Linked DNA regions of Macaca mulatta. The protein of the gene in region 1 interacts with the protein of each later gene in a pairwise test. Links are inferred from orthologs where the notes say so. Each region holds a gene or a part of one and is shown in the gene's direction. Other genes may lie near its edges.

The links.
Region 2: the proteins of DTX2 (region 1) and NCS1 interact in binary tests that used the Homo sapiens proteins (3 or more experiments, as listed by UniProt). The two-hybrid records come from large-scale screens. The link is inferred for Macaca mulatta from reciprocal best matches to the Homo sapiens genes DTX2 and NCS1.
Region 3: the proteins of DTX2 (region 1) and ARNT2 interact in binary tests that used the Homo sapiens proteins (3 or more experiments, as listed by UniProt). The link is inferred for Macaca mulatta from reciprocal best matches to the Homo sapiens genes DTX2 and ARNT2.
Region 4: the proteins of DTX2 (region 1) and STX12 interact in binary tests that used the Homo sapiens proteins (3 or more experiments, as listed by UniProt). The two-hybrid records come from large-scale screens. The link is inferred for Macaca mulatta from reciprocal best matches to the Homo sapiens genes DTX2 and STX12.
Region 5: the proteins of DTX2 (region 1) and GLYCTK interact in binary tests that used the Homo sapiens proteins (3 or more experiments, as listed by UniProt). The two-hybrid records come from large-scale screens. The link is inferred for Macaca mulatta from reciprocal best matches to the Homo sapiens genes DTX2 and GLYCTK.

Annotation. Positions count from the first base shown.
Region 1 is NC_133408.1:49,846,206-49,849,715, reverse strand, and holds part of DTX2 (putative E3 ubiquitin-protein ligase DTX2), read left to right. Parts: intron 1-21; coding exon 22-101; intron 102-1,938; coding exon 1,939-2,097; intron 2,098-3,060; coding exon 3,061-3,222; intron 3,223-3,510. UniProt on the Homo sapiens protein: Regulator of Notch signaling, a signaling pathway involved in cell-cell communications that regulates a broad spectrum of cell-fate determinations.
Region 2 is NC_133420.1:17,428,486-17,432,659, reverse strand, and holds the start of NCS1 (neuronal calcium sensor 1), read left to right. Parts: upstream 1-1,364; 5' UTR 1,365-1,624; coding exon 1,625-1,688; intron 1,689-4,174. UniProt on the Homo sapiens protein: Neuronal calcium sensor, regulator of G protein-coupled receptor phosphorylation in a calcium dependent manner. Directly regulates GRK1 (RHOK), but not GRK2 to GRK5. Can substitute for calmodulin. Stimulates PI4KB kinase activity.
Region 3 is NC_133412.1:58,638,388-58,642,446, forward strand, and holds the start of ARNT2 (aryl hydrocarbon receptor nuclear translocator 2), read left to right. Parts: upstream 1-1,249; 5' UTR 1,250-1,383; coding exon 1,384-1,414; intron 1,415-4,059. UniProt on the Homo sapiens protein: Transcription factor that plays a role in the development of the hypothalamo-pituitary axis, postnatal brain growth, and visual and renal function. Specifically recognizes the xenobiotic response element (XRE).
Region 4 is NC_133406.1:213,166,974-213,171,282, reverse strand, and holds the start of STX12 (syntaxin-12), read left to right. Parts: upstream 1-1,499; 5' UTR 1,500-1,513; coding exon 1,514-1,631; intron 1,632-4,309. UniProt on the Homo sapiens protein: SNARE promoting fusion of transport vesicles with target membranes. Together with SNARE STX6, promotes movement of vesicles from endosomes to the cell membrane, and may therefore function in the endocytic recycling pathway.
Region 5 is NC_133407.1:115,825,112-115,829,148, forward strand, and holds the start of GLYCTK (glycerate kinase), read left to right. Parts: upstream 1-1,227; 5' UTR 1,228-1,510; intron 1,511-2,620; exon of another isoform or gene 2,621-3,684; 5' UTR 3,685-3,719; coding exon 3,720-4,037.

The DNA of each region.
Region 1 (3,510 bases):
TTATGTACTTCTCTCTTCTAGGAGGGACCCCGAAGCCAGAGCCACAGCCAGAGCAGGTCATAAAAAACTACACGGAAGAGCTGCAAGTGCCCCCAGATGAGGTTTGTGTCTTGGGAGCTGGGCTGCCTTTGTTTCTGTTTGCAGACAACTCCAGATAGAAAGGACATCTGCCCCTTCTCGCTTGAAGGGTGCTTCCCAGGTGCCTCTGAGTGCCAGGACCTTGCTCCAGCCCCTTTGGTTTCATCTCCCAGCCTCCTGAGACCCATATCGTTATGATCTGAGCTTTGCACTTAAGGAGCTGTGGTCCTGAGCAAAGTCCCTCCTCTCCCGGCCCTGGCCTCTCTGTAGCCTGATGGCCGTCCTGGGAGCAGGAATCCCGGAGACAAGGGATGGGCCAGCCTGCCCCACTCTCCGCCGTGCGGATGCTGGTGTAGAAGTGAGGTGGCCTCGTCCAGGTGGCTGCCCTGCCCCTCCAGCTGTTGGGAGAGCTGGTTAAGGTTCCTATAATTTTTTTATTCTTAAAGACAGGGGCACGCACTGTCGCCCAGGCTCAGTGCAGTGGTGTGATCACAGCTCACTGCAGCCCTGTCCTCCTGGCCTCCTGTAATGAATGGGACCAGTCAGACTCCTGTTGCTCTTCCATAGAACCTGAACCTCTGCTGAGCCACGTTTTGGGGGCTGCGGCACCCCTTTCCCCCGATTTTAGTGGGGAACCCTGGAGATACTGTTGGGGGGGTAGGGTGAATGGCTAGGAGTACCAGTACCCAGGCACTCTTCAGATACTGGGGGGCGGGTGAATGGCCAGGAGTACCAGTACCCAGAGACCTTCAGATACTGGGGAACGGGTGAAAGGCCAGGAGCCCCAGTACCCAGGGACTCTTCACTTATGTCTCTCTCCAGTCAGTTGAGTCCACGAAAAAAATCTGGTAAGTAAAGCTTTGGACAGGAGCCTCAAAGTCCTCCTCATGCGTCCCACCCCTTCAACAAGCCCTTGCCGCATTCCCTCCTGCCCAGTGCTTAGCTCTGTCTCCGCTCTGGTGCCCATCTGGTATGACTGGGCCGTTTCACCCCAGGCTCCTCCTCTCCAAGCTGCCGTCTGCACAGCCAGCACGTAGCTCAGATCATGGGAGCACTCCCTGCCTGGAACCCCCAGCAGGATCCCCAACTCGCACACAGCCCCAGCCCCTGAGTGTGGCAGCCAGAACCCCGAGGGCCCGCCTCTCCCTGATCCTGTCTCATCTCCTGCTCCCCGCTCCCCCCCTGCCAGCTTTAGTGCCCATGTGCTGGCTCCTCGTTCAAAACATCCTCCTCCCTCTTCCCAGGTGCCCGCTCCGTGCTTGTCCATCTGGCAATTCCTGTCTCCCTTGTACGACCCCACTCCGAGGGCCTCCCCCAGGATCCTGCCCTGTCCATCCTCCCCATTTGGTGGCTCCTGCTGTCATGTCAGGCCTGTGCTGCTGTTAAGCTCTTTAAGGGCACAGGTCCCAGTGACTCACCTGTCTTTCCAGCCTGTGGAATGGACGATTTTTTTTTTTTCCTGAGATGGAGTCTTACTCTGTCGCCCAGGCTGGAGTGCAGTGGCACAGTCTCAGCTCTGCAACCTCTGCCCCCTGAGTTCAAGCAATTTTCTTGCCTCAGCCTCCCGAGTAGCTGGGATTATAGGCGCCCACCAACACGCCTGGCTAATTTTTGTATTCTTAGTAGACATGGAGTTTTCCCATGTTGGCCAGGCTGGCCTCACATTCCTGACCTCAGGTGATCGGCCTCCCAGAGTGCTGGAATTACAGGGCTGAGCCACTGAGCCACTGAGCCTGGTCTTGGAATTGACTTTGACCACACTTCCAGCATTTCAGCACGTGAAAGCCTCTTTTTCCAAGACTGGCCCTCGTCAGCCCAGCCCACTGTTGGCGAGCATGACCTGTGTTTGGTCTCCTCCAGGACTGCATCATCTGCATGGAGAAGCTGTCCGCAGCATCTGGGTACAGCGACGTGACTGACAGCAAGGCCATCGGGCCCCTGGCTGTGGGCCGCCTCACCAAGTGCAGTCACGCCTTCCACCTGCTGTGCCTGCTGGCCATGTACTGCAATGGCAACAAGGTGCCCCCACTGGCCCGGGGTGGAGGCGGGTGGCCTGCCCCCACAGTCCTGAGCTGTCCACACCTGCAGAGGCGGGAGGGTTCTGGGGGTGGCTGCGGGGACGGGCCTCTGCAAAAGATGGTGCCGGGCGTGGGGCCAGCTTGAAGACCTTTCTAAAGGCCTGGCCGGCTCTCCCAGGCCTGCCCTACTCTCCTAGGCCTGCCCCACGCTTTAGAAAGGGGGACCAATGGGGCTGGTTCCCTCCACCCCTCCAACCAGGCCTGAGGAGATTGTGGGCTTCTCCAAGCCTCAGGGCACCGCCTCCCCCTCGGCCACTTGTCAGCGCTGCACACGCTGTCTCCCTTCTTCCTTACAGCGACCCTGTGTGGTCAGCACAGTGCCCATGAGGGAGAGGCGCAGAGCAGGGTTGCCCTACTGGGTGGTGGGAGCCAGGCCACGAGGCAGGGCTGACCCTGGGTCCCACGGCAGCCTACACGTGAAGAGCCACGCCCAAGCCGATCCCTGGCTGCTGTCTCTGCAGCGGCCTTCAGGCAGGATGGGCAGAGTTTGGAGGCTTAGAGAACCAAGTCATGTGGCGCGTCAGAGCCTGGCTTGGCCTTCCCTAGTGTCTGCCGTCCTGGGCAGCCAGGGCCCAGCTCCACAGATCAGGCGCTGCAAGGCTGTCTGTCAGACTTCAAATGCGCTTCACCCGTGGAGACTTCTGCTCAGGATCCGAGTTTTCCCACTCACCACCTGTCTCCTGATAGCATGCTCCTTTAACGAAAACGGCATAATGAGTTGCTGGTGCAAAACAAAGCTTTCCAGGGAAGCTGTTGGAAGCCAGTTTCCGGGCGGGAGGCTGCCAGCAACTCCCTGGGATGGCGGCTGGCCCGTTCCCGGGGCCCTTTACCATCTGACGGTGGAGGTGACGGTCTTGGGTGCTCTCAGCCAGCCAGCTCAGTGGGTCGCATCTGCCTCTCTCAGGATGGAAGTCTGCAGTGTCCCTCCTGCAAAACCATCTATGGAGAGAAGACGGGGACCCAGCCCCAGGGAAAGATGGAGGTATTACGGTTCCAGATGTCGCTCCCTGGCCACGAGGACTGCGGGACCATCCTCATAGTTTACAACATTCCCCATGGCATCCAGGTGAGGGGCCTTCCTGGAGTCCCCACTCCCGGCCAGTCCTCTTCCCCCCCCCACCCACGTCCCAGCAGTCTGCCCCTGGATCAAGGCTGAGGATGCCCATGTGGCCAAGCTCAGGCCCCCAGGTCCCCTAAGGCCAGGGCCATGGAGGGCCAGGAATGGAGAGGCAGTGCCGGGACTTGGGGCAAGCTCTTAGGGCTGTGGCAGCAGAGAGCTGGCCCTCCACTCTTTCCCAAACCAGGGAAGCCTTCCTGGAGGAGGAGCCATCTTAGCTAGACTTGTTCTGGACAG
Region 2 (4,174 bases), on another chromosome or scaffold:
CAGGAGAAAGCAGGAGTGGATGGAGTATGCTTAGAGGCAAGAGAGAGATTTGGGAGCTGGAAGGCACTCGGCCCTGCTCAGGGTTCCTCTGAGCTTTCCGGGCCCTCCGAGGTTAGAACACTGTGGAAAGAAAGAAGAAAAAGAGACCCCACTCCTGCCTCATCCCTGCTGGCCCCGGGGGGAGGGCTGCCTCATCCTCCCTGCTCTTTCCTCTACCCCAGGGCCCCAGCACCGCGTGTCATTCCTTCCTCCATCCTTCACTCACTCACAGAGATTTGCTGGGTAACTACCACACCTCAGGCGGTCTTGTAGGTTATGGAGACGCCTCTGCCCTCTGGGAGGGTGTTCTCCCATGGAAGAGACAAACAGGAGGCAGAAAACATAGGTGACGTTTGTGACGGATGCGAAGGAGAGAAACTAAAGCTGGAAAGGAGGATGGGAGAGGTCTCAAGAGGTGGTGATACGTTGGATGAGGTGGCCCGGGAAGGCCGTGCTGGACTTACCCTCTGGACCACCCCCCAACGCTAACCCACGGGCCTCTGTCCATTCAGGTGGAGCCTGTCACTCCAGCCTTGGCTCAGAGAAACAGCTCCGAGCAGCTCTGACCTGTCACTCCAGCAGCTCTGACCCATCACTCTGCTGAAGTCCCTTCATGGGCGCTGGTGGGCAGGGGCCCAGCTCCTCGGCGAGGGGCCTTTCCGGGCCTGCCCCGTGGGCCCTGCCCTTCTCCCAGGCCCCCTGTGCCCGCATTGGTGCGCAAGCCCATAAGCCGGGGAGCTGTCCCTCGGGCGTGCAGGCCTCCCCGCCTCTCCAGGTTGCCTGGGCCAGAACGCTTCTCCATCCCCCCTCCCTTCCTGACCCTGGGCTTGGAGGTCACCTGCCCCAGGCCGAGAGTAGGTGCCCCCACCGCTACCTGCGGCACCCTGCACAGCCCTGCCCGCCCTGCGAGAGCTGAGGCGCTCCTGTCCCGTGGGCCGCCGTGTCCTCGGCACCCCATGAATCCGTGTGGAATGAATGAATGTCTCCGGGCCGGGACTTGGCCTCATCCACATCCAATCTTCCGGGCCCTCCCGCCGCGGCGGGGGCCGGAGCGCCAGGGCTGGATTCGGGGAGGGGGTGGCTGCCCCTCCCTGGGGCCGCGTTGAGCTGAGGGGACGCCCCTCCGGCGGGCTGGCGGGGCCGGGGTCCCGCTGGCGGAGGCCGCGGCCAGGTGGGTGCGGGGCGGGAGGTGGCGCCGGGCGCTGAGTGGCGGCTCCGGGTCCACCCCTGGCGCGCGGGTGCGGGCGGGAGGCGGGAGGCGGGAGGCGGGGAGCGCAGGGGCGGCGGCTGGCGGGAGGCAGCAGCGAGCATGTGCCGCGGAGCCCAGTAACCAGGGACGACCGCGGCCACACCGCGCCGGCGCCGGCGCCCAGCCCAGGCAGCCCCGCGCCGCGGCGCCCGGACCGCCCGGGCCTGCCCAGCGGCCGCCCCACGCCCCGAGCGCCCCGGCGCCGACAGCCGCGCAGCGCAGCGCGGGCGCCGCAGACAAAGGCGCGGCCCCGGCCCGGCCCGCCCGGCCCAGCCGCTCCCGCTGGGCGCCCCAACCGGGTCCGGCCCGGGGGGGCGGGGGCCGCGGCCGCCGAGGATGGGGAAATCCAACAGCAAGTTGAAGCCCGAAGTTGTGGAGGAGCTGACCAGGAAGACCTACTGTGAGTGCTCCGGGTCCCTGGCCCGTGCCCCGCGCCTCCCGGTCACCCCCACGCCCGCCGCCCCCGCCCCCCGGACCCGCGCGCTACCCGCTCCGCGCCGCCGCCTCCGCTCGGTCCTCCCAGCCCGGCCTCCGCCGTGGGCCTCTCGGAGGCTCCCGGGCCGCGCCCCTGCCCCCCGCCCGGCCCCATTGTTCTGGCACCCCCAGCCCGGGGAGTGCGCGCCGGTCGGCGTGCGCGGCGCCACCCCCAGGTCCGGAGGGGCAACCCCAGCCTCCTGGCGGCCCCCTCTCCGCAGAGCTGTCCCAACAGGCAGGGGCTGTTGTGAGGGCGGGGCGGTGGTCCCGGGAGGGGGCGCCCGGCTGCGCGGAGCCGACTGGCACTAGTGCGCGGGGCTGGTGATTCATGCATCACGATGCCGCCGCCGCTGCTGCTGCGAGATTGGCCTGTCGCCCCCTCCCTGGCCCCGTTCGTGTGTGGGGGGTGGCGAGACTTGGCACAGCGCCTGTCGAGCGGTGACGGCGGCGAAGGGTCCCCGGCACCCTGTGGGTTGCAGCACTTACAGGCTGGATTCTCCCTGGCTCCATCTCTGTCTGCCAGACCGGGAAATGGGTTTCTACAGCCCGGGCGATCTGGGCCGTGTGTGATCATTAGCTGTCGCGGGCTGCCCGGAGGAGGAGGGCCTGTCCTTTCTGGACGTCTCCAGATCAGTCTCAGTGTGTCTCCCTCCACTTGCCCAACTTCACAACTCTGCAGTCCCCTTGCAGCCCCAATTTCTCCATATCAGGCTTCCCCCTTCCCTGCAGCATCTCCGGAGGTGCCCTGGCATACCAGGGGTTAATGGCAATGGGTCCAGACCACCCAGGGGATGCTGAGAGGGAAGGCTTCCGCATCGGGGCCTGGAAGGACCTCTGCCTGGGTGTTTGACTTGGAAGGGGACAGTGGCTCTGGGCTTGGGTTGGAATTCAGAACCCATCCCCGGGCAGCTGCGTGGGCCCAGGCCCTCTGCACCACCCCTGGAGGCAGCAGCTTGACCGCCAGCCCCATGTGTTGATGGAGGCTGGGGAGGCAGCTCCTGGTGGTGCATTGCACAACCTCTGCTCCCCGCTTCCCCCCAACTCCATCGGTCTTCTGGGCACGTTTGCAGGTCTGTCCAAGCCCACGCTTCAGCTCCATGCCCCTCACCCCTCGTGCTTGGAACAAAGGGGGCTTTCCAGAACGGGTGCTAGTCTGCTGCGAGGTGCTGGCCCTTCTCCTGTGGAATGCTGCAGCATGGAGCTCACATCCCAGGAGCTGCTACCTGGAAGGGGTGAAGCCCCTGGGCACAGGGGCTGCTGTCACCCTCTCTCCAAGGTGGGCAGGTGGGTGGCCCATTCCAGTCTGGCTGCTGTTTTGTGATATTCGCTGGGGCCTCCTTCAAGCTAAGTCCAGATGTGGCCCACAGCTGCCAGCAGGTGGACTTCCTGGGTCCCTGTGCCGGGGGAGAGTGAGGACACAGTGGGCGTCATCGGGAGTGGTGGGCATGGGCTGCATGGGATGCCTCCATCGTGGTGGGACAGGGGAGTGAAGCCAGGTTTCCTGCTCATGGAGCATGTCACTTGCCAAGCTCTTGGCATCGTTAGCACCTCGACTCCGCCACAACTGCTCTACCAGGCTGGGTGCTGCTGCGATCTCTATTTACAGATGGGGAAACTAAGGCTCAGAGGGGCAAAGTGGCATTCCCATGATCCCACAGCTAGTGACCAGACAGTGCCAGGACTCAAATTCCGGTCTGTCCTGCTCCAAGGCTAGTGAGAGACCTCAGAGCTCATGCCAAGAGCTCTTCTGGGCCAGGCACAGTGGCTCACGCCTGTAATCCCAGCACTTTGGGAGGCTGAGGCGGGTGGACCAGCCTGAACAACAAGGGGAAACCCCTGACTCTACTAAAAATACACAATTAGCTGGGCATGGTGGCGCATGCCTGTAATCCCAGCTACTCGGGAGGCTGAGGCAGGAGAATCACTTGAACCCGGGAGGCGGAGGTTGTGGTGAGGCGAGATTGCTCCAAGAGGGAACCTCCATCTCCAAAAAAAAAAAAAAAAAAGCTCTTCTGGATGTGTCTTTTTCTGGCTTTTGTTAGAAGCCCATGATGGTGGATTCTAAATGAGAAGGGCCTGGGGTGATCATTCTGTCCGGCCCCCTCCTCTGGGCAGATCTGTCAACTTTGAGAGAAGTTGAGTCAACAAAGCTTTGTTAGGAACTGGCCCTTGTGGTGCTAGGCTGGGCTATTTTTAAAGGCCTTCGGAGACGTGGAACAGTTTTGGGCAGGGAGAGAGTTGGCCTGGGGACTTTTCCTCTGTAGAAGCCCTTATTAGGGGTGGGCTGTTGGAGGTGGCGGTGGGTTCGTTGGCCTCCGGTCTGCCTCCTGCGCTGACGTCAGCTCCCTGGTGCAGGCCCTTGTGTGTGGAGCTCACAGCTGTGTTCTCCCCGTTTGTTGGGCTTTAGTAGGT
Region 3 (4,059 bases), on another chromosome or scaffold:
CCCCCCAAACTAGAAGCCCTTGGAGAACAGAGCTCCTGTGTCTTTCTTTCCGTGGTAGGCCCAACACCTGGCTTTGTGCCTGGCACACAGCAGACATTCAACATTTGTAGAACTGATATACTATTAGATTAGTAGTGACAAACACTCCCCAAAGAGAATGCTTATTTGAACACACATCCCAAACACTGCTTCTCTACCCTCCAGAAAATGCTTCTTTGGAAGGATTTAGGGCAGTTTGATGTTTCTGCAAACATATCTGCGTTTAGGGGCCATCTTGCCCTTCTCAGCGTTCACCTGGGATATCTTTATTCTTCCATTTAACCTTTACAGGGGACCACGATGGTGACGTGTCCTTCCTAGGGGCCATTACCTCTCACAGGGATCCTAGTGTCTGGTAGAAAACAACCCCTCCAAGTTCTCTGCATCCGAACTTCACCAGAATACGCGGATAAACCTATTTAAAAAATCTTTTTAAATTCTCAACTTGGCGGTGGAAATAAGGCTCTTGCAACGTCCTCAAGTAATAACCAATGGCAGCTATCATGGCAAGAAGGAGATAGAGCTGAGCGCCTTACTCAAAGCCAAGACATTCACAATTTTTTGGGCCCGGCTCCCTGTGCCTGGGCATGTGCACTGTGCACTCCGAAGCTGTGTACGGCGGTGGCCTTGGAGGTGCCCGTGGCCTTAGGAATTCCCGGGGTCGGGCACCCTCCGCTTCGCACCGCGCCGTGTCCCCGGCCTGGCAGTCGAGCGGCGCGGCTCTGGCATGCTAAGTGGGCAGCACTGGGGCGCCTTTGTTTCTCGCGGCCGTCTCCCAGGACCAGCTTCCTTCTGAATCTAAATGGGCTTCTCCCCCACCCGCTCCGCCCTGGCCCCCTGGCCTGGGCACGGCGCCCCTCGGTGATACGCGCCCGGACACCTGGGGAGTGGGCGTGCGGGGGCAGCCCGGGCTAGGCGAGCGCGGGAGGAGCGCCTGCGATCCCAGCCCGGCCAGGCCCGAGCACCTGCGCGAGCCGGAGGGAGCGCCCGGCCCTCTGTCCCCTCCAGTCGCCAGCGCCCAACTTGGGGGTCCCGCCGCCAGCAGCCCCAAGTCTCGCGGTGCTACCGCTCTGACCCGGGAGCCGCGGGCCGGGCGCCCCCCGCCGCGCGACAAAGGCTGAACCGGGAGGAGGAGGCCGAGGAGGGGGAGGAGGAGGAGAGAAAGGCGGGGACGGTGAGCGGCCGCGGCGGCGGGGAGAGCGCAGGGAGCGCCGCCCGCCCGCGCCGTCCTTTGTGTGGCGGCGGCAGCGCCTGGGCCTGACCGGGTCCCCGGGGCTAAGTGCCCGGCTCCGCGCCGCCCCTCCCGCGCCCCTGCCAGGCGCGCGCCTATCCTCTCCGAGCAAGATGGCAACCCCGGCAGCGGTCAACCCTCCGGGTGAGTAGCGGCCTGGGCCCCGCCGCCCGCCGCAGCCCGCAGGCCTTGCCCGGGGCCGGAGCGGGCCGGAGCGGATCAGGCGCGCCGGGCGCCCCCGGGGGCGCGGAGCAGCAGCTCGGCGCGGTGGGTGGTGGAGCGGCTGTCACTGCGCGGCAGCTGCAGCATCAGCACCAGAGCGGCATCTGCATCCTTATCGCTGCCCATCCGGTCCCGGGCAGGCGCCGGTCCGGACCCGCGGGCGGCCGGACGCTGGCCTTGCGTCCTCCGGAACCCGAAGGGCCGGCCCGGGAGCCCCCGAAGTTCTGAAAATAACCGCCTTTGCCTTCCCCATCCCACGCATTTTTCTCTTCCGGTCCCGGCTTTTGTAGCATCACGGCGTCAGCCAGTCCTGGCTGGTGGAGGGCTCCGCGCTGATGGAGGGAAAAGTTTGGAGCTGGGATTCAACAGGGTACAACTCTTGGGACTCTCCCTTGCCCGCCCCGCCCCCCAAGCGCTGGTCCTTTGCGCCCTTTGCGACTGGCTGCTGTGTGTCCTAACTCTCTGGGACCCAGAACACCCAGCCTGTGGTCACCAGCGTGAAGTAGCCCCTGTCCTGCCCAGGTGACATCCCCTGCTTTCTGGGCTGACCTGTCAGCAGGGTGCAGTCTGTGACAACTGAGCTCATTAGGAAAGATTTCAAAAATGGAAGAGTTCTTGATGGAGTGGCAACATTTACCTGTTTGGGTATTATAGTAGGGAAGTCCCGTTTTCGTTGGGAAAGTTCCCTACCTGATGAGTGTGGGAGAAGAGAAAGGTGAACATCTAAGCTGGTACAAACTTTTGGGTGTTGTGCAGAGGCTGCTGTGGGCACGGCAGGTTGCTAGGTCCCTGTGGAAGATGCAGGGAGAGTCACAGAGGGCGGCCCCCAGGAAATTCCCAAGAGAACGGAGGTCATGTGTTGGAGATAGGGAGGGTCGGAGGAGGAACATTGATGCTTAGCAAAGTAAAGTGTCTGTCATCATAGAATTAGGCATGAAAGATCCCTTTCATCTAAGGAGGCCAGGGAAGCCTTCTGGACGTTTCGGTTGCACGTTGAAAACGGGAATGTTTGAATATACAGAGCCAGTAGCAGAGGGGCATTGCAGGCGTAAATGACAGTGGACTTGTTCTAAGCATGTGCAGAGGTCAGTGAGTGGTTGGTGCACTGGAGATCTAAGAGGCAGCAGTGGGATTTAACACTGAGTTGTTTGGATGTGACCAGGCTTTAAAGGACAGACTGAGGAGTATGGACTTTCTCTCTCCACATTAAGGGAGAGTCCTCTGCACACTTCCTAAGATCCAGAAAAATAAAATAGAAGAGAGAGAGAGAGAGAGAGAGAGAGAGAGAGAGAGACCACAATGGTATTGAACAAGGAAATCGCATGATCACTTTTTCTGGAAGATAAATTTGTCAGCCATGTCTAGGAAACATAGAAAGGAGGGAACAAGACTTGAGACGGAGCCCAGCATGACATGAGGCAGGTGCTGGGGAGGCCAGAATTGGTGGCCATGGCTGGACCAGAGAGGAAGGAATGCACCACTGGGCAGGTAGAGGAGTTCCATATTTGGAACTGATTAGATTTGGAATAAGAGTAAAGGAGGAGGCCAAGGAGAGACAAAGGGGAGGTGTCCATGGAGACACCAAGGTGAAGAGCCTGTGTAATTCCAAGGAAGGCAGTTCCATCAGCAGAAATAGGGACTATGGGAAGAACAGACAAGGAGGCCTCTGTCCAGAACACTGAGAAGGAACATGGCTGGTCTGAAACACATCTGTGCCAGTTTGCCTGCGACTGAAGCTGCAATTTCAACCCATTCAACTACTTCAAAATCAATAGAAAATTGATAGATGTAAATGTTATGAAATCAGAAAAAGCAAAAGAAGTTAAATGAAGATATTTTAGTCCAATATAGGTTTACATTGGGAACAGGAATAAAATCCCTGGTGATTTACATAATTTCTACGTAATCAAATTAATTATTCTAGAATAATTTACATAATTTCTATGACATCGTTATTTAAAACTGTTTTGTCCATTACATTGCTCCATGAGCTACATGGACTAAAGATGGAGTAGTTGCCCCTGGCCCAGTGGTGTGGAGCACAGGAAAGCCTGTGTTTGTGCCTTGGACTGTGGAGGCTTGAATGATACAAGCACAGGGTATTGTTTGTGTTGTTAGTCAACACCTGGCCAGCTTGACAGCTGCTTTTCTCTGTTGACAGCTATACCGGAGATCTTCAGCATGGTGATAATTTCTCAAGTGAAAATTCCTTGAGGTGATCGCCTTTCGTTTTACCATCATTTCTTTTACCGGTCCCCTGAGGATGATCCATGGGGATGTGTTATTCTTGCCCCATGTGAATCTCCATCTTCTTCTTTGGGAGAAAGGGTTTAATTTCAAGGGAGATGGCTCAGGGTTTGAGCCAAAGAGAGAGAGTTCAGATTCTATGGACAATTTACAACAAAAAGAGCCGTGGTACCCGAGCTTGTCACCCAGAGCCTACCTCCCATGGGCTTGTGACACTTCTTTGAATTCCTTTTTCTGCCTCCCTCCTTTCCCCAGATATGGTTGCTTTGCAAAGAATAAGAGCTTGGTAAACAGAATCAAATGGACTAGGAAGCACTAGG
Region 4 (4,309 bases), on another chromosome or scaffold:
ATAGCCACCCTTAAAAAATCCTAAGGCTGGTGGTGATCACTTGAGCCCAGGAGTTCGAGACCAGCCTGGACAACATGGCCAAACCCCATCACTACAAAAAATAGAAAAATTAGCTGGGCGTGGTGGCGCACGCCTGTAGTCCCAACTACTTGGAGGCTGAGGTAGGAGGATCTCTTGAGCCCAGGAGAAGGAGGTTGCAGTGAGCGGAGATCATGCCACTGCACTCCAACCTGTGTGACAGAGCGAAACCCTGTCTCAAAAAAAATAAAATAAAATAAAGAAAAAACCCTAAGGCCATATACAGGCTCATTCACTTGGGGTCTCCTTTCACCCAGGCAAGCAGCTTTCCGTCTTTGCATTTTCCAAAGACTGCAAAGCAGGCTGGGGTGGGGTGGAGAACACAGGAAACAGCCAGTTCCCCTTCACTTCTCACCATCTTGATCTCCTCCCAAACCAAAATCCTATGTCTTTCCTTTTAACATACGCTTACAGAAATGCAGTCTTCTGTAGGAAAATTGAGGTCATGCATTCCAAAGTATTTAAGGGTATGATTTTTAAATTTTAGGAATCTAGTTCTCCAAGAAATCCCGGTTTGGGATATAGATGAACGAGCTATTTGGGAGAGATTTCGATGAGAATGAATTTTAGAGAAGTAGCAAGGTGAGGAGAGAGTCAGCTTAGCGTTTGGCTTTTGCAGTCAAACTTCAGCAAGGCGAAGTAACCTCGCTGGTCTTAATTTTCTCATCGGTAATAGGGAAAATAATAATGCTAACATTGATGAGTTACTTTACTTCAATATTTAAAAAACCGACTCTCCGCTATCTATTCTAATGATAAAAATGTAGACAGAGCATCGTCCCTTGCTGTGAAAAATCTTATGAACAAGTGAATTGCGGTGAGGATTCACACATAGTATGTGCTTAATAAACATTATTATTTTATTGTTTAGATTAGAAGAGGGGTGGAGGGAGAAATGAAAGCGGTTTGGAAACCCCAAATACTACCAAAACCCTGGGGACGGAAGTAGAGAGGAATTTCGGGTTACGATTTGGTTCCTGGTCTGAGTTTCAACGTTGAATACTCCCATATTTGGGCCTGAATTCTCAAAACAGAATAGGATGTAAGGGCTGAGATCATCTGGTACAGTTTTATGCAAATCGAAAATTCTTGCCTCTTGTCAATGTGCCCTGGCGAGAAACAACACCTCCACCCAAGCTCATCCAATCTCAGCCCCAACTAGGTGACGTCATCTCTCCGCCCCGCAACCCCCAAGCCCCAGGCAGTCCTGTCTCTAAGATACAGTCCCAGCCCCAGTCCCAGCGGCGCCTGCGCACTTTGAACAGGGGCGGGGAGGACGCGTGCGCGCTGCGTGGGGGCGGGACTAGTGCGCACGCAGCCTTAGCTTCTTCCCCGCCCTTGCTCTTCCCAGTTTCTCCGTCAGCCTGCGGGTCCCGGCTGGCGGCTGCTTCCGGTAGGAGAGTGGTGTAGGGCGAGCAGGTCTCAGCTCCTCATCATGTCATACGGTCCCTTAGATATGTACCGGAACCTGGGGCCCTCAGGGCCCCAGCTCCGGGACTTCAGCAGCATCATCCAGACGTGCAGCGGCAACATCCAGCGGATCAGCCAAGCCAGTGAGCCGGGGTACCGAGCTGGGGGGCGGGAGCTGTCCCCGGGACAGGCCTGGGTGAGACTGTCGGGTCGCGGAGCCCGGCTGGGACTACGGCCGAGGCCACACCTGGGGCTGTCTCGGGCTGTCCACCCTGGGGGCGGTGGGCTTGCCTCCCCCAGTCTGTCAGGCCCGGGCTGCCCGAGGGTCCCCGGCCCCAGCTGAAGCTTGAGCTGCTTCTCTGGAGTTCTGCCCCCACGGTTCTGGGACCAAAACAGCCCGAGGGTGGGAAGGGGAGTGTGTGTCATCTCGAGAGCTGTGAGTGCGTTGACTTGGCGCAGTGGTCAGCCGAGTTTCTCCTGTCATCCACCTTCCTCCCCACCCACCTCGCTTTCCTCTTAGGCCAGTTTGGATGGGGTTGTTTACTGATTTAGGCTTTAGGTTTACATTCTGCTCAGCCCCTGGCTCCTCGGAAATCAGCAACTTTCAATTAAGGGAAGTGGAGAGTGCATGTGTTTGGATGACTTCATACACAGTTCTTCCTGTAATGAATTCGGAAATCAGACACAATGACTGGTATTTGAGAGGTGGGATGACTTCTGTTTTAATAAAGATAATTCACCAGCAACATTTCAACTTACATTATTTTGTCTTTTGTAACAAAGCATTGGGGTGTATTTTTGGATTTCAGGCAGATGAGGCTTTTGTTTTCCTTCCCTACTTAGCTGCTCTTGAACAAATCTGGTACACAGGGAAGCTAAGAGACTTAGCCACAACCACAGAGCAAGTAATGCATGGTAGAGTTGTTGGTGGAATTCAGAATGGTATTGCTTGTCTTAAAACTCCCTCCTCCCCATTAGGGTCTGAGTGAAACTGTAGCTGAATGAGTCAAATACAGGGTGTTTCTTGGGCTTGAAAATCATCTTGGAGCCTTATAAACAGGAGATCAGCAACAGCTTTACTTGGAAAGAATGGTGGTCATCATCCTTATTGTTTATTATTGTGTTTTGTGAGCTTGGTGTACTCTGTTAATAGGTAGAACTAGTTAGTCCTGAATTACAATTCTGTATTTTAAATAATATCACTTTGCTTTAGTTTTTAAACTTTAAAAAATTTTTCTTTTTTGTAGAGATGAAGTCTTGCTGTGTTGGCCAGGCTGGTCTCAAACCCCTGGGCACAAGCACTTCTCCCACCTCAGCCTCCCAAAGTGCTGGGATTACAGGCGTGAGCCACTGTGCCCAGCCTAATTTTTTTAATTTAAAAAAATTAAATATTTTAAATTTGTTTTTAAGAGATGGAGTCTAGCTCTGTCACCCAGGCAGAGTGCAGTGATCTGAGTGAAGTAGAGCGATCCTAGCTGGCTATAACCTTGAATTCCTGATCAGCTTGCTGAGTCGCGAGGACTACAAGGATGCATCTACCATGCCAGGCTAATTTTTAAATTTTTTGTAGGGATGGGGTCTCACTATGTTGCCCAGGCTCACTTTGCTTTTAAATCTAAATGTATATTGTAGAATTTGAGAAGTTTCTGATCAAAAGCAGTTGAGACTCTGGAAGTGAAAGGAAGGGTATGTGACCTCTTAAAATCCAGAACTAAAAAAAAATAATATGACCACTGGTTAGAAAGTGTAGTACTTTTTGTTCCAGTTTCCTTTTGTGAAGGAGCTGTAATACAGGTTAGATCAGAAAATTCTAGTTCAAGGCTGAAATTTTCTTGTTGAAGCTAAATCTGATTTTAATATCTATTTGCAAAATATTCATTCAACTTGTATTCAATATTATATATATCATATATAATATTATATTTAATATATAATATAAACATGAAGATGGATAGATGGATACATGTTGAATGAATATTATATACATGCTGATATATATATATATATATATAAAACCAGAATACTCCCAAAGGTAGATCCAACATACATTTTAAAATTTACATTTAAATTTTTGTTTTGAGACAGGGTCTCACTCTGTCACCCAGGCTGGAGTGCAGTGGCATGATCTCAGCTCACTGCAGCCTCAGCTTCCCTGGCTCAAGCAGTCCTCCTGCCTCAGCCCTACAAGTAGCTGGGACTACAGGTGTGCACCACCATGCCCGGCTAATTTTTTTTTTTTTCTTTTGAGATGGAGTCTTGCTGTGTCGCCCAGGCTGGAGTGCAGTGGCACAATCTCCGCTCACTGCAAGCCCCGCCTCCTGGGTTCACACCATTCTCCTGCCTCAGCCTCCTGAGTAGCTGGGACTACAGGCGCCCACCACCACGCCCGGCTAATTTTTTTTTTTTTTTTTTTTTTTTTTTTTTTGAGACGGAGTCTCGCTCTGTCGCCCAGGCTGGAGTGCAGTGGCCGGTTCTCAGCTCACTGCACGCTCCGCCTCCCGGGTTTATGCCATTCTCCTGCCTCAGCCTCCCAAGTAGCTGGGAGACGGGGTTTCACCGTGTTAGCCAAGATGGTCTCGATCTCCTGACCTCGCGATCCGCCCGTCTCAGCCTCCCAAAGTGCTGGGATTACAGGCTTGAGCCACCGCGCCCGGCCAATTTTTTGTAGTTTTAGTGGAGACGGGGTTTCACCGTATTAGCCAGGATGGTCTCGATCTCCTGACCTCGTGATTCGCCTGCCTTGGCCTCCCAAAGTGCTGGGAATACAGGCATGAGCCACTGCGCCTGGCCCATGCCTGGCTAATTTTTATATTTTTTGTAG
Region 5 (4,037 bases), on another chromosome or scaffold:
AGTGCAGTGGCATGATCAAGGTTCACTGTAGCCTCTACCTCCCATGCTCAGGAGATCCTCCCACCTCAGCCTCCCGAGTAGCTGGGACTACAAGAGCATGCCACCACACCCGGCTCTTTTTTTTTTTTTGTAGAGATAAGAGTTTTGCCATGTTCTCAGGCTGGTCTCGGATTTCTAGGCTCAAGCGATCCGCCCACCTTGGCCCCCCCAAGTGTTGGTATTACAGGCGTGAAACACTGGGCCCTGCCAAGAAACATGTTTCAATAAAATCGTTAGGAAATCAAGTATGTGATTTGTGATGCAACTCTCTCCTCTATCTCCATAAGAAAACATCAGTAAAAACAGTGAACTGTTTCGTGTTCTTGGAGTCTGATGAGGACTCATCTTATGAATGTGGGAAGGCATCCAGCCAGCTCAGGGTGGGCCCAGCATGAGAGCAGGGACAGTGAGGAAGGTCCTGAGTCATTCGCTTTTACATGCAGCTTATGTGCTTGAGGATAGCGGAATGGAACTCTCGCTAGGTCAGAGCTGTATTTGGTGGCCCATGGTGGGAGAGGGGAGAACACTAATAAGTTGTGGAATAAAAACCATGGAGAGGAGCGAGAATTACTTAATCTGGCTCCAGAAGGGGTTAGTTGTGGGTAAGTAGTGATTCTCAGTTCGTTTGCTCAGCCCAGTCCTCAGGGTGTATCTGCTGACTGATCGTACAAGATAAAGGAAGGGAGAGGCCAGGCGCGGCGGCTCAAGTGTGTAATCCCATCACTTTGGGAGGCTGAGGTGGGTGGATCGATTGAGGTTAGGCGTTCGAGACCAGAGAGGCCAACATGGCGAAAGCTGGTCTCTACTAAAAAATACAAAAATTAGCCCGGCGTGGTGGCACATGCCTGTAATCCCAGCTATTCAGGAGGCTGAGGCATGAGAATCGCTTGAATCCGGGAGGCGGAGGTTGCACTGGGCCGAGACCGCGCCTCTGCACTCCAGTCTGGGCGACAGAGTGAGACCCCCGTCTCGAAAAAAAAATCTGCAATCAGTGAGGCGGGGATTATTACCCTCAATGTAGAGATTAAGAAAATGAGGACTTAAGGTGACTCCTTCCAGGTCTGTTGGTGGCCAGCAAGGAGTCAATATCCTAAACTCTCCCTTCCAGACCCCAGCTTCAGCTAGAGCTCGCAGCCGCCAGCGCGGATCCACCCACCCACACTTCCGGATTCCGCTCCGCCCACCCGCGAGTACTTCCGGTCTCCAGTGCTGGGCGCCGTGGCCCGGAGCTGTGGGCTGGTAAGTCTGCGCCTGCAGGGCGCGCATGACCTTCAGAAGCAATCCCTGGGCTGGGCGACGAAGGGTCTTGGTGGCAGCAGGCCCTTCTTTCTCGTATCACCTGGCATTACGCGGCAGCGGTTTGCCTCGCGAAGGCCCTACCTGAGGATGACGTCACTTCCAGCCCCCTGCTGACTGCGGGAAACCGGAAATGGTGCCAGCCCCCTTTAATAGCGGGGAGGAGTCAAGGCCGGTAGTCTTCCTGTTTCCGTGTTTTGCTTTGGATCCCTCCGGAGTTTTGGAGAGACTATGTCTTGTATAGAATTGGAGGACTTAGCAAATAAAAATGCAGAGAGTCCAGTTAATTTTTTTTTTTTGAGACAGAGTCTCACTCTGTCACCCAGGCTGGAGTGCAGTGGCGCGATCTCGGCTCACTGCAACCTCCGCCTCCCCGGTTCAAATGATTCGCGTGCCTCAGTCTCCTGAGTAGCTGGATTACAGGCGCCCACCACACCTGGCTAATTTTTGTATCTTTAGTAGAGACGGGGTTTTACCATGCTGGTCAGGCTGGTCTGTAATTCCACACCTTAGGTGATGCGCCCGCCTCAGCCTTCCAGAGTGCTGGGATTACAGGCCTGAGCCACTGCGCCCGGCCGTGTCCAGTTAAATTTGAGTTAAGATAAACGATGAATAATTGTTAAGTCCTAAACATTGTATGCACATATTTATACTTTAAAAATTACTTGTTTTTCTGAAATTCAAATTTAACAGGACGTCCTGTATTTTCTCTGGCAGCCTTGGCATTGAGCGTCCCCTGTCCTCTGCTCATACCCAGTGGCAAGACTGGGATCTTCTAGGCTCTTGTCCATCTGGGAAATAAATACAGATTTCACCCTATAAAGACCGGCTGTCTTAGTTGCTAAGATGCTTTTAGCTCCAAGCCTAATGGGCAAGCTCCAGGGGTCCCCCTGGCCATAACTGGACCCATTTTCGGAATCCCCATGACGATGCCCTCTGTGTTCCGTTTCACAACAGAAGTCAAGCATGGCTGTCTTCTCTTACGGGAGAGCTGAGACTAGGCAGACAAAATGGTCAGAGTCTAGAAGTAACCACCACATTTGGGTGTGGGATAAACCGGTATTTGAGATCTGTGTTGCAGTGGACAGTATCAGAGAGCCTGAGGGTGTTAAGGGGAGAGTGTAGTGTTAATCTCACCTTGTGTCTCATTTTGTGGATGAGGCCCAGTGAGAGAAATGGATGTGTCCCAGCCACTCAGAAAACCTGTAGTAGATACAGCTGGAAGCTCAATTCCCAGCCTCCTTACCCCGCTCAGTCCATACTTGCTGATGAAGTCAGCTTGCAGCATTTATGGTAGGCATTTATTAAAGTAGATGCAATAGTACATATGTAGTACAGATGAGCTCTTTGGGTCTTTGTTGTTCCTATACCCCTCTACAGCTTCCTGACCTTCACCCCAAGGCTTCTTTAGCTTTTACTCTGCCCAGTGGGGAAAATGGCTATCTGGGCTCAGTTATGGGAGCCTGGCCTTTGCCTACTTCAGCTCTTGGGCTCTCACCACTGTGGGTGGTGTGATCTAGGACTTGTTTTTGTTATCTTGGAACTAGAAGGGGTGTTCTTGGCAGGGTTGGGTCTGGCCAGCTATGTGGGTAGAAGGGCATCCTTTTCTGTCCTGCAATTGGGCTTCATGGCACATGGCCTCACATGGTGCCTGGGGACTTTCCTAAGGTTCCACCATGAGCCAGACTTTGCCCTCACTCCTGATTTGAAACTAAACCTCTTGCTGAACTGGCCTGAATACTGGGATTCCTCAGATTGCTTGCCCTGAGGATATGCTCTGGGCTTGACCTGATAAACCTGCAGCCTCCTATAGACCCTGACTTCCCAGCCTCCTAATCCCAGTCTTATGAGATAAAGTAGAGTAGGCTGGAGGTCAGTGGGCTCGGGGTCAGTTGGTGGGACAATCAACAGACTCCTGGCAGCAGAGGTAGTAAAGAGGCAAGGAAGGAGTGCCAGAAAGGGGCGTTGCCCCTGGGTAAGAGCTCAGAAGTGCAGGGGGTGGAAAAGGGGTGGGATGGGAGCCCACTGGTAGAAATTACTCCCTCTGTCAATGATTAACTCACAGCCAAAGGGTTGACCTAGGAGGAGGGCCCAGCTAATAGGAACTTTGGACTTAAGGCAGAGTATCCAGAGGGCCGGCATGTGGTCTGCAGAAGAGGAGGACATGGCTGGGTGGCAGGGCTGGTATCCAAGGATGAGTGAGATCCTGCAGCTGTGGGCTTCAGGAAGTCTCCTGGGGCTATCAGATGGCTCCTTCTTGTAGCAGCAGCTGTGGGGTCCACTGGCCGTGGGGGACCTCCTGTCTTTTGCCTTGCAAGGGCCTCAGTTGTGCTTTTTCCCTCTAGGCAGCCATGGGTGCCAGGCAGTGCTGAGAGCAGTGGGGCATGGCTGCAGCCCTGCAGGTCCTGCCCCGCTTGGCCCGAGCCCCCTTGCATCCACTCCTCTGGCGGGGCTCAGTGGCCCGGCTGGCCAGCAGCATGGCCTTGGCAGAGCAGGCCTGGCAGCTGTTTGAGAGTGCTGTGGGTGCAGTGCTGCCGGGCCCCATGCTGCACCGGGCACTATCCTTGGACCCTAGTGGCAGACAGCTGAAGGTGCGGGACCGGAGCTTTCAGCTGAGGCAAAACGTCTACCTGGTGGGCTTTGGCAAGGCTGTGATGGGCATGGCAGCTGCCGCTGAGGAACTACTGGGCCAGCATCTTGTG